Canis lupus familiaris: one gene and its partner. The protein of the gene in region 2 interacts with the protein of the main gene of each other region in a biochemical or structural test. Links are inferred from orthologs where the notes say so. Each region holds a gene or a part of one and is shown on either strand. Other genes may lie near its edges.

Region 1 (3,740 bases), on a different chromosome or scaffold from region 2:
GGGGGGCACTGGAGGGTCTCCTCCTCACTTCCCTGGCGCGGCCAGTACTGTTTTAAACAGCCTCCCTGCGAGAAGGAACCGCGCTCTGGGGCATTTAAAACAGAGGGTTGTCTTTTATCAAGGACGGAGTTCTATCGCCCCACGGAGAAAAGAACATTGTCCAGAGGCTGCCGTTGGTGGAAACAGCAAACGGCGAAGAAACGGCTGGAGGAGGGAGAAGACTTCGCGAGCAGAGCCTAACGCAAGCCCTGGGAGGCCGATCCGAAGTCCTGCGCGCGGCCATGCACCCTGGGCCTCCGCCCACTTCCCCTCCCTCGCGGCGCCCTCTCGACCCCCTGGGACCCGCGGACGAAACCGAGCCCGCGGAGCCCCGATGCTCTCCCCCAGTAACTGTTGCAGAGGCGGGAGAACTTTTATTCCGTAGCCAGAGTTGCAGACGGACTCCCGAAGCACCCAGCCGGGCGGTGGAGGGGAGCCTCTGCAACTGCAGCCCCCAAAGCGGACTGCGGCGGGGGCGGGCGCGAAGCCAGCGGCACCTCCGCGCCCCGGGGCCCCGCGGGGCAGCGCGGTCCCACCCCCAGCCCGGCGCGCCCTCGCCCGACCCGGCCCTCGGGCGCGCGCCTGCGCCTGCGCTTGCGCAAAACGCCCCCGCCCCAGCGCCTCTCCAGGTGCGCTCGCGCTTCCGGCCGGCCTTCCCGAGGCGGAAACACCAGAGCCCGCGCATGCGCCTTCCAGCTCTCCTGCTAGGTCCGGGGAGGGGGGCCCAAGGCTTCAGGTGATCCCGCCCCTCCCTCGCAGCGCGGGACCAATCGCGAGGCGGTAGGCGGGATTTTCGCGGAGGCGGCCCGCCCACACGCTCGCGAGGCGGGTTTCGATTGGCTGGCGGCGCGGGCGCAGGTGCGCGCTTCCTATTGGGTGTGGGCGGAGCGCGAGCCGCCGAGGCTTCTGCCGAGGCTGCAGGTGAGCGCGCGCGCGCCGCGGCTCCCTCCCGGGCTCGGGTGCGCGCGCGCGGGCCGGCGGGGGAGGCGGCCGGGAGCGAGCTCGCGGCGCCCGTCGCCTGTGCTCCGCCCCCTCCGCCGTCGCGGCCGCCGCCGAGGCCCGGAGGGAGGGAGTCGCGTCCCCGCCCGCCGCGCAGCCAGTCGGACCCTCGGTGCCGCCGCGAGCAGCCGGCCGAGCGGAGCTCCGCGCCCAGAAGCCGAGTCGCGGCCGCCGCTCTGCAGGTGCCGGTGCGGAGGCGCCCGGGCCGCAGCCGCGTCCCCGGCCCCGGCCCCGTCCCGCCGGCCGCGACTCCCCGCGCTCCCGAGGGGCGGCCCGGCCGCAGGAGGCCGCCGCGGGGCCCGGCCTCAGCATGAACCGCAGCCACCGGCACGGGGCGGGCAGCGGCTGCCTGGGCACCATGGAGGTGAAGAGCAAGGTGCGCGGGCCCGGGGCCGGCGGGGGCGGGGGCGGGGGGCCGGGGCTGCCCGCTGGCTGCGGCCGCGGGGCGTGCGGGGCTGCCCGGTGCACTCGCCGAGAAGCGGGCGAGGGTGGGGCCTTGCGTTTGCTCCCGGCCCAGGTGGGAAGGCCCGCGGAGCCCTTGCCCTCCTGGGGTCTCAGCCCGGGGCGGGGATGGCAGGCGTCTGAGCGCAGTGTGGGCGAAGGCTTGGGGACGTTGTAGCTCCCGGCCTGTGAGTAGCAGGTATTGGAAACACGCGCGGTCACAAAATGTTACCCCTTCCCGTGGTCCAGGGGTGCATCGAGCGGTGAGACGGCGAGCCCAGGGCCCTGAAGAGCCCTTTGAAAGTTGGCTTTGCTTCCTGCTAGGGATTTTTCCAGCACTCCCTTTGGTATGCGTCCTATTTATAAGAATTAACACTATCACCTTTCGTTTGAGTAGCCCTTTACAGTTTGAGGCTGGATGCTCTCTTCATTCCATCGTGCTGCCTTTTCACATCAAGTGTTTTCCTTCCTGACCGACGGTATGCCAGCCTGCTGAAAATTCCGTCCATATCCACTGAATTCCTAAATTGCAAGGCTCCCCGAGCAGGGGAGTCTGTAGGGATTAGTTAGAGAATGCTTTCCAAAGGGGGTTTCGAGCTGGAATTTGAAGGTGATCGGCAACCACAGCAGCATTTTCAGCAAGCATTTTGTGAGTTGAAGAGCCAAAGGAGCTCAGATAATCTAGTTTGATTCTCTTGAGAAAACGGAGGGGTCAGAAAGGTTATGACTTCGCCAGGCTCTGCTTTTATGACAAAACCTGGAAGGCTTTTTACAGATAACTTCTAGACTCTGTAGAACAAACGTGTTTTTGAGAACATTAAAAACAGTTAACAAAACCAAGACACAAGAATGGGAGAACAGTACGAGCAGATCAGCTTCAAAAATAACGAAACACCATTGAGTGTAAGACTACAGAGGGCAAATCCAAAATCAGGGAGTGGTTTTGAGTGAAGTGGAGTAAGAAAAGCTCCCCGGAGCCTGGGGGTGGAATGGTTTTATCTAGAGCTGATAAGCAAAGTTCTGTGAGTTGCTGGGAACTGAGATCTTCACATCAAGAGTATCTACATTCATTTTAAACATCGTTTGAAAATGTTATTTGTGACCTCTGGAGCAGGATAGGCAAGTGGGTTCACAGAAACCGTTCTGCTTAATAAGAATAGAAATGTAATTATAGCAATTTAAGGACTGTGTTTTTTCTTTCCTGTGCCCTGCACAGAATCACTAGAGCAAATTGAAGGGACATGGCTTGAGCTAAGGGTTAAGATGACTCCAAATATACAGGATTTTTCCTCGAGCGGTATAGCAGCGGTAGTGGTTCTGTGCCCACTGGTTGAACTTTCTCAGGCATTTCTGCCATAAATCTAGTTTGCGTCTGTGGGGGTTGAGGTTAAGAAAAGAAAAACACTTATGATATTGCATAATCTTAAAATTCAGTTTGTGGTCCTAATCTTGGTAACAAGTCTTGAACTTTTTATCGTAGGAAAAAAATGAGTAGAGAGTCTAGGTGCACCGATAAATACAATCAAATGGTAATTTATCTCCTGGACTAGAAACCTGGAGCACTTTTGGGACTGGAATTTCAGGCTTTCTGCCCTTTCTCTTCTCTCAACTGACCTGTGAATCTTTCCCACACTTACATCTGTACTACACGTTGTATATTTGAGCTGCCATGCTGCACTCGTAGTGAACCATGTCTCTTAAATAGAATCGAGGCATTCTGAGGACCTGCACCAAATGAGGTGTGGTTCCTCTTGTTGTTCTAGATCTTGCTGAATAGACACAATATTAGGTACTGTTTTTAGCATCTGTGACACTGTTTTAAATAGATATTGTTGAGACATTTATTTTTAGTGGATTAAATGAAACACTTGTCATCTTTATCATTTAAAAAGTATTTAGACAGATGTTTGAAACAATATTTCTCTTTGTCCCTGCCTTGGTGATATCACAGCTTTTTTCAAAACTGATTGTCGGGAAGTTGTAACCACAGCCAGGTAACGTGCAGATCCACATTTCAAGATCTCTTTTTCTTCTGCATAGAAAACAGTGTCAACTGTATCATCTGAGCAGAGCTGGGGAAGTTCTTAATAATGAAGGTGATATCCCTCAGTAACCTTGGAACAGTCTTTGGGCCGTACATTTTCTACTTATTATTCATGGGCAAACAGCATTAAAATTAACTTTGCATTTCTCGAATGTACCAACAGATGCTGGGAGAAGGCCACATCCTGGGTGGCCAGGACAAACTAGATTGGCCTAAA
Region 2 (3,740 bases):
TTACAGGCCTCTCAACAGAACTACTGACCAGTCTCATGGATGCCCCAGCACAGAAAGGAAAGATCTATCCTGTGCCTAGATGTGCCTAGATGGAGAAGTGGGGGTATCAGAAAGCATGGACTGTGGAAGCCGGGCAAGCACTTGCTCAGGCATCAAGTTCAAATTCCACTCAAAAGGTCACATAGGAGGGGTACAGGTGGGGTGGACAGTGCGTCCAGTTCAAGCCCACTGGCTTCATCAGACCTTCCCCCAAAGCTGATGGTGTGAACAGCAGACCAGACTGGAGCTGGAAAGAGGAAGACCCCCATGTGGTTGTTTCTGTGAGCTTAGTTAGACAAGGGCTGAGACTCAATCTGGCAAAGCAGGGTCTCCACCTCCATGGTACATTCATTACCTGGAAATACCCTCAAAACACGGTACTGCTGCATCCTGCTTGGACCCCACTCAGACCCTGGTGACGGCACATCCTCCAAAGGCCAACTTGGGGGCTCCCTATTTTTAACAATGACATCTTCAATGGGTCTGACCTTCTGTTGTGGCCCCGCTGTCCAAAACAACCTCCCAGCAGCCAGGCGGCAGCATAGTCCATCCGGAGTACCAGGACCCTGGAGGCCTGGATAAGTGAGCCCCTTGGGGGAGGGACCAGGGCAGGGGCAGCAGGAGGGAGTGGGGAGCAGGGGTAAGGCAGGAACCTCAGTACAGTCCAGGTACTACCTACCACCAAGGGAGAAAGGAAGAGTGTGGGAGGAGGAGGAGGAAGAGGGAGGGGATGAGGAAGAGAACAGGATGAGTGGACGCCTCATCAGCCCAGGAACCAAACCCAACAGGTCACATTACTGGCAGTAACCAAAGCACTCTCCAGGGGCCAAAGTAGGGGGCAGGGCTGGGGGCAGCAGGCTCCCTCCAGAACTCCCAGGCTCCAGTCCACTTTGCCTGCCCCCACCCCTCCACCCAGTGCCTGACACTGCTTCCTTGAGCCCAGCCTGGGGGCAGGCTGGGGGGCTGGGGGGTGGGGGGTCCCATCTCCACCCACCCCGGGCCAAGCGGCTGGGGTGTGGACTTCCTCACCCTGAGGACCAACTCTGATTTTTCACAAAGTGGCTTATTGCTCAATCCCACAGTTCCTGGCTGGGAAGAGGACTGTCAGATATGGGGACAGGCTTTCCACCGGGTTCACCAGCCAGAGAGCCAACCTGTTCTGGCCCTGCATGAGTCCACAGGCAGACCTCTTCAGGTGGGCTGGCCACGGTCCCCCCAGAAATCACTCCTCCCCAGAGCCCTGTCACCCACTCTGCCAGGTGACCCAGATGACCATGGCAGAAGGCACAGGACAGGTGTGACCTGAGACCCCAAAAGAGGTGCCCTCACCGAGTCAAGAGCCCCAGGCTCCTCCTCAATCTGGAGGATGCAGCAGGAGGCGCACCTCTGGGGAGACCACGGGCGTCAAGCAGCCGCAGCAGCAGGGTTTCCGCTGCCCCCGAGCGCTGGGGGCTGAGGCCGGATCCCGGCCGGGCCGCGGGCGCCGCGCCACCCCCCGCACCACCAGCAGGGCTGCCCCGCGGCGGCGGAGGGTGCGCGCTCCCGGGCGTGGCCCGGCGCGCCCGGCCTCTGACCCCTGAGCGGTGCCCGCTCGCCCCATTTTACCGCGGGCACATCGAGTCCAGGGCGCCGCGCGGGCGCGGAGCGGATCAGAGTCCGAAAGATCGGCTCCAACAGAGCGGCGCCTAGGGACTTAGGGGGCCCCCGCCCCGCCCCGCCCCGCCCCAGTGGGCGCGCCCGCGGGCTGCCCGGTGCCCCTCACCTTCCCCGGGATCGTGCCGCCGAGCCCTCCGGCCGGGTAAACTGGGAAACGCCTAGGAAACCCGGATTTTTACAGCTCGGCCGGCGGTTTTCATGTGACAAAAACTTCAGTGCTCACAGGTCCGTGGCCTTCACGTCCGGCCACCTTCGCAGAGGCAGTGGCAGCGCCGCGCCAGCGCCGCACGGACCCGGGGAGCGAGGGCCCGGCGCGGCCCCCACCGGCGACCCCGCCCGCCCGGGGCGCCCCCTCCCTCCCGCGCGCAGCGGCGGCCGCTCGGGCCCCGACGGCGGGCGCGCTCACCCGCTGTGGTGCGCCTTCAGGCGGACGCGGCAGCCGCTCCCGTGCATCTTGGGGCCGGTCCTGCTGGGCATGGCGCGCTCGGCCGGCCGCGGTCAGCCGTCAGCCGTCAGCCGTCAGCGCGCGGGCCATGGGCACCCGGCGGCCGGCCGGGGCGCCAGGATGGGGCCGGCGGCGGAACGCGGAAGGGCGCGCGCGGCGCGGGGCCCCAGGGCGCGGGGCCGGCCACCTCCGCGGAACCTGGACGGCGGGCGGGCGGGGGGCTCGGCCCGCGGGGGCGCGCGACGGGAGCGCACGGACTCCCGGCGCCAGGCCCGGGGGCGGGGGGTGCGGAGGGTCCGAATATGGCCGACCCGGGGCCCGGCGGGCGGCCAATCGGCGGGACGGGCGGTCCCGGGGCGGGGGCGGTGGCACCTGCGGCCAATGAGGGCGAGGCGGGGCCGCCACCTGGGCCAATCCCCGGGGGTCCCCGCGGCCGCGACCCAATGGCTCGGCGCGGGGCGGTCTACCTGTCGGGCGGGGCGCGGCCCACCTGCGGCCAATGGAAGCGCGCGCGGCCCGGCTCTGCCCGGCAACGGGAGGCGGCGCGCTGCGGGCCCCGCGCTCTGGCCCCTCGGCGAGGTGGGCTCCCGGGGCCGCGCTCCCCGGGGGGGCCCCTCCGCCGCCGCGCCCGGGAGCCCGCTGCGAAGGCGGGCCGTGGGGACTGCCCCATCCCAGACTCACGCAACCGAAACTCCGGCAGTCCGCGCGGACGCGCGCTGCGGGACCCGGGGCGAGCTCGAGTCCGAGAGGTTTGAGCCGCGGAGCCAGCGTCACGAGGACGGTCCGGCCCCGCTGGTTCCCTGGCCCCGGCCGCCCTCCTCCCCGTGCCGAACCCAAGATCCCGCTGTCTACACTAGCTGGCGGTTGCCTCTGCTCCGGTTGACTCTTTGGCCGGGACGAGGACCCTGCGTTTGCCCACGTCGCCCACGATCTTCATTTTTGTTTTGTTTTTTGTTTTAAGATTTTATTTATTTACTCATGAGAGACAGAGAGAGAGAGAGAGAGAGAGAGAGAGGCAGAGACACAGGCAGAGAGAGAAGCAGGTTCCATGCAGGGAGCCCGACGTGGGACTCGATCCCGGGTCCCCAGGATCAGGCCCTGGGCCGAAGGTGGCGCTAAACCGCTGAGCCACCCGGGCTGCCCCACGATCTTCATTTTTGAGTCCACACCTCCGTGGGTCGTCATAACTGCTGCACTTGATCCGGATTAGCGCCTCTGAACACCCTCCCTGCCCGCTCCTCAGCGGTCGTGTCGCTGCCTGGTTGCCTCCACGTGGCCCACACCGGCGTTTGTTTGTAGGACCTCACCTGGGCACCACGTGGGCACCCCAGATTCGGGTCTGCACTCGCTCCTCCCCGCCAAGCCCCCTCCTCCCCTTCCCCACACCACCCAGGGGGCAACCTCTGACCTGGGACTCCAGGCCCGCCAAGCCTTCACTCCTCACCTGGACAGGCTTCTGGTACTGGGTACTCACACTCCCATTCCACGGAGGCTTCCTGGTACCTCCTTGGTACTAGGCTCTGGGGTGAGCCTGGAGAACCAAGTGGACGGTGATTTATGGTCGTGGAACTCATCATCTCCAGAGGGATGGACACAGAGA

Evidence for each region. The genes of interacting proteins can lie anywhere in the genome.
Region 1: the proteins of PRKCZ (region 2) and PARD6B form a complex in vitro, tested with the Homo sapiens proteins (2 studies listed by BioGRID). The link is inferred for Canis lupus familiaris from reciprocal best matches to the Homo sapiens genes PRKCZ and PARD6B.

Annotation. Positions count from the first base shown.
Region 1 is NC_049245.1:37,729,194-37,732,933, forward strand, and holds the start of PARD6B (partitioning defective 6 homolog beta), read left to right. Parts: upstream 1-1,286; 5' UTR 1,287-1,348; coding exon 1,349-1,414; intron 1,415-3,740. UniProt on the Homo sapiens protein: Adapter protein involved in asymmetrical cell division and cell polarization processes. Probably involved in formation of epithelial tight junctions.
Region 2 is NC_049226.1:57,486,864-57,490,603, reverse strand, and holds the start of PRKCZ (protein kinase C zeta type), read right to left. Parts: upstream 2,238-3,740; 5' UTR 2,173-2,237; coding exon 2,102-2,172; intron 1,941-2,101; exon of another isoform or gene 1,802-1,940; intron 605-1,801; exon of another isoform or gene 590-604; coding exon of another isoform or gene 528-589; intron 1-527. UniProt on the Homo sapiens protein: Calcium- and diacylglycerol-independent serine/threonine-protein kinase that functions in phosphatidylinositol 3-kinase (PI3K) pathway and mitogen-activated protein (MAP) kinase cascade, and is involved in NF-kappa-B activation, mitogenic signaling, cell proliferation, cell polarity, inflammatory response and maintenance of long-term potentiation (LTP).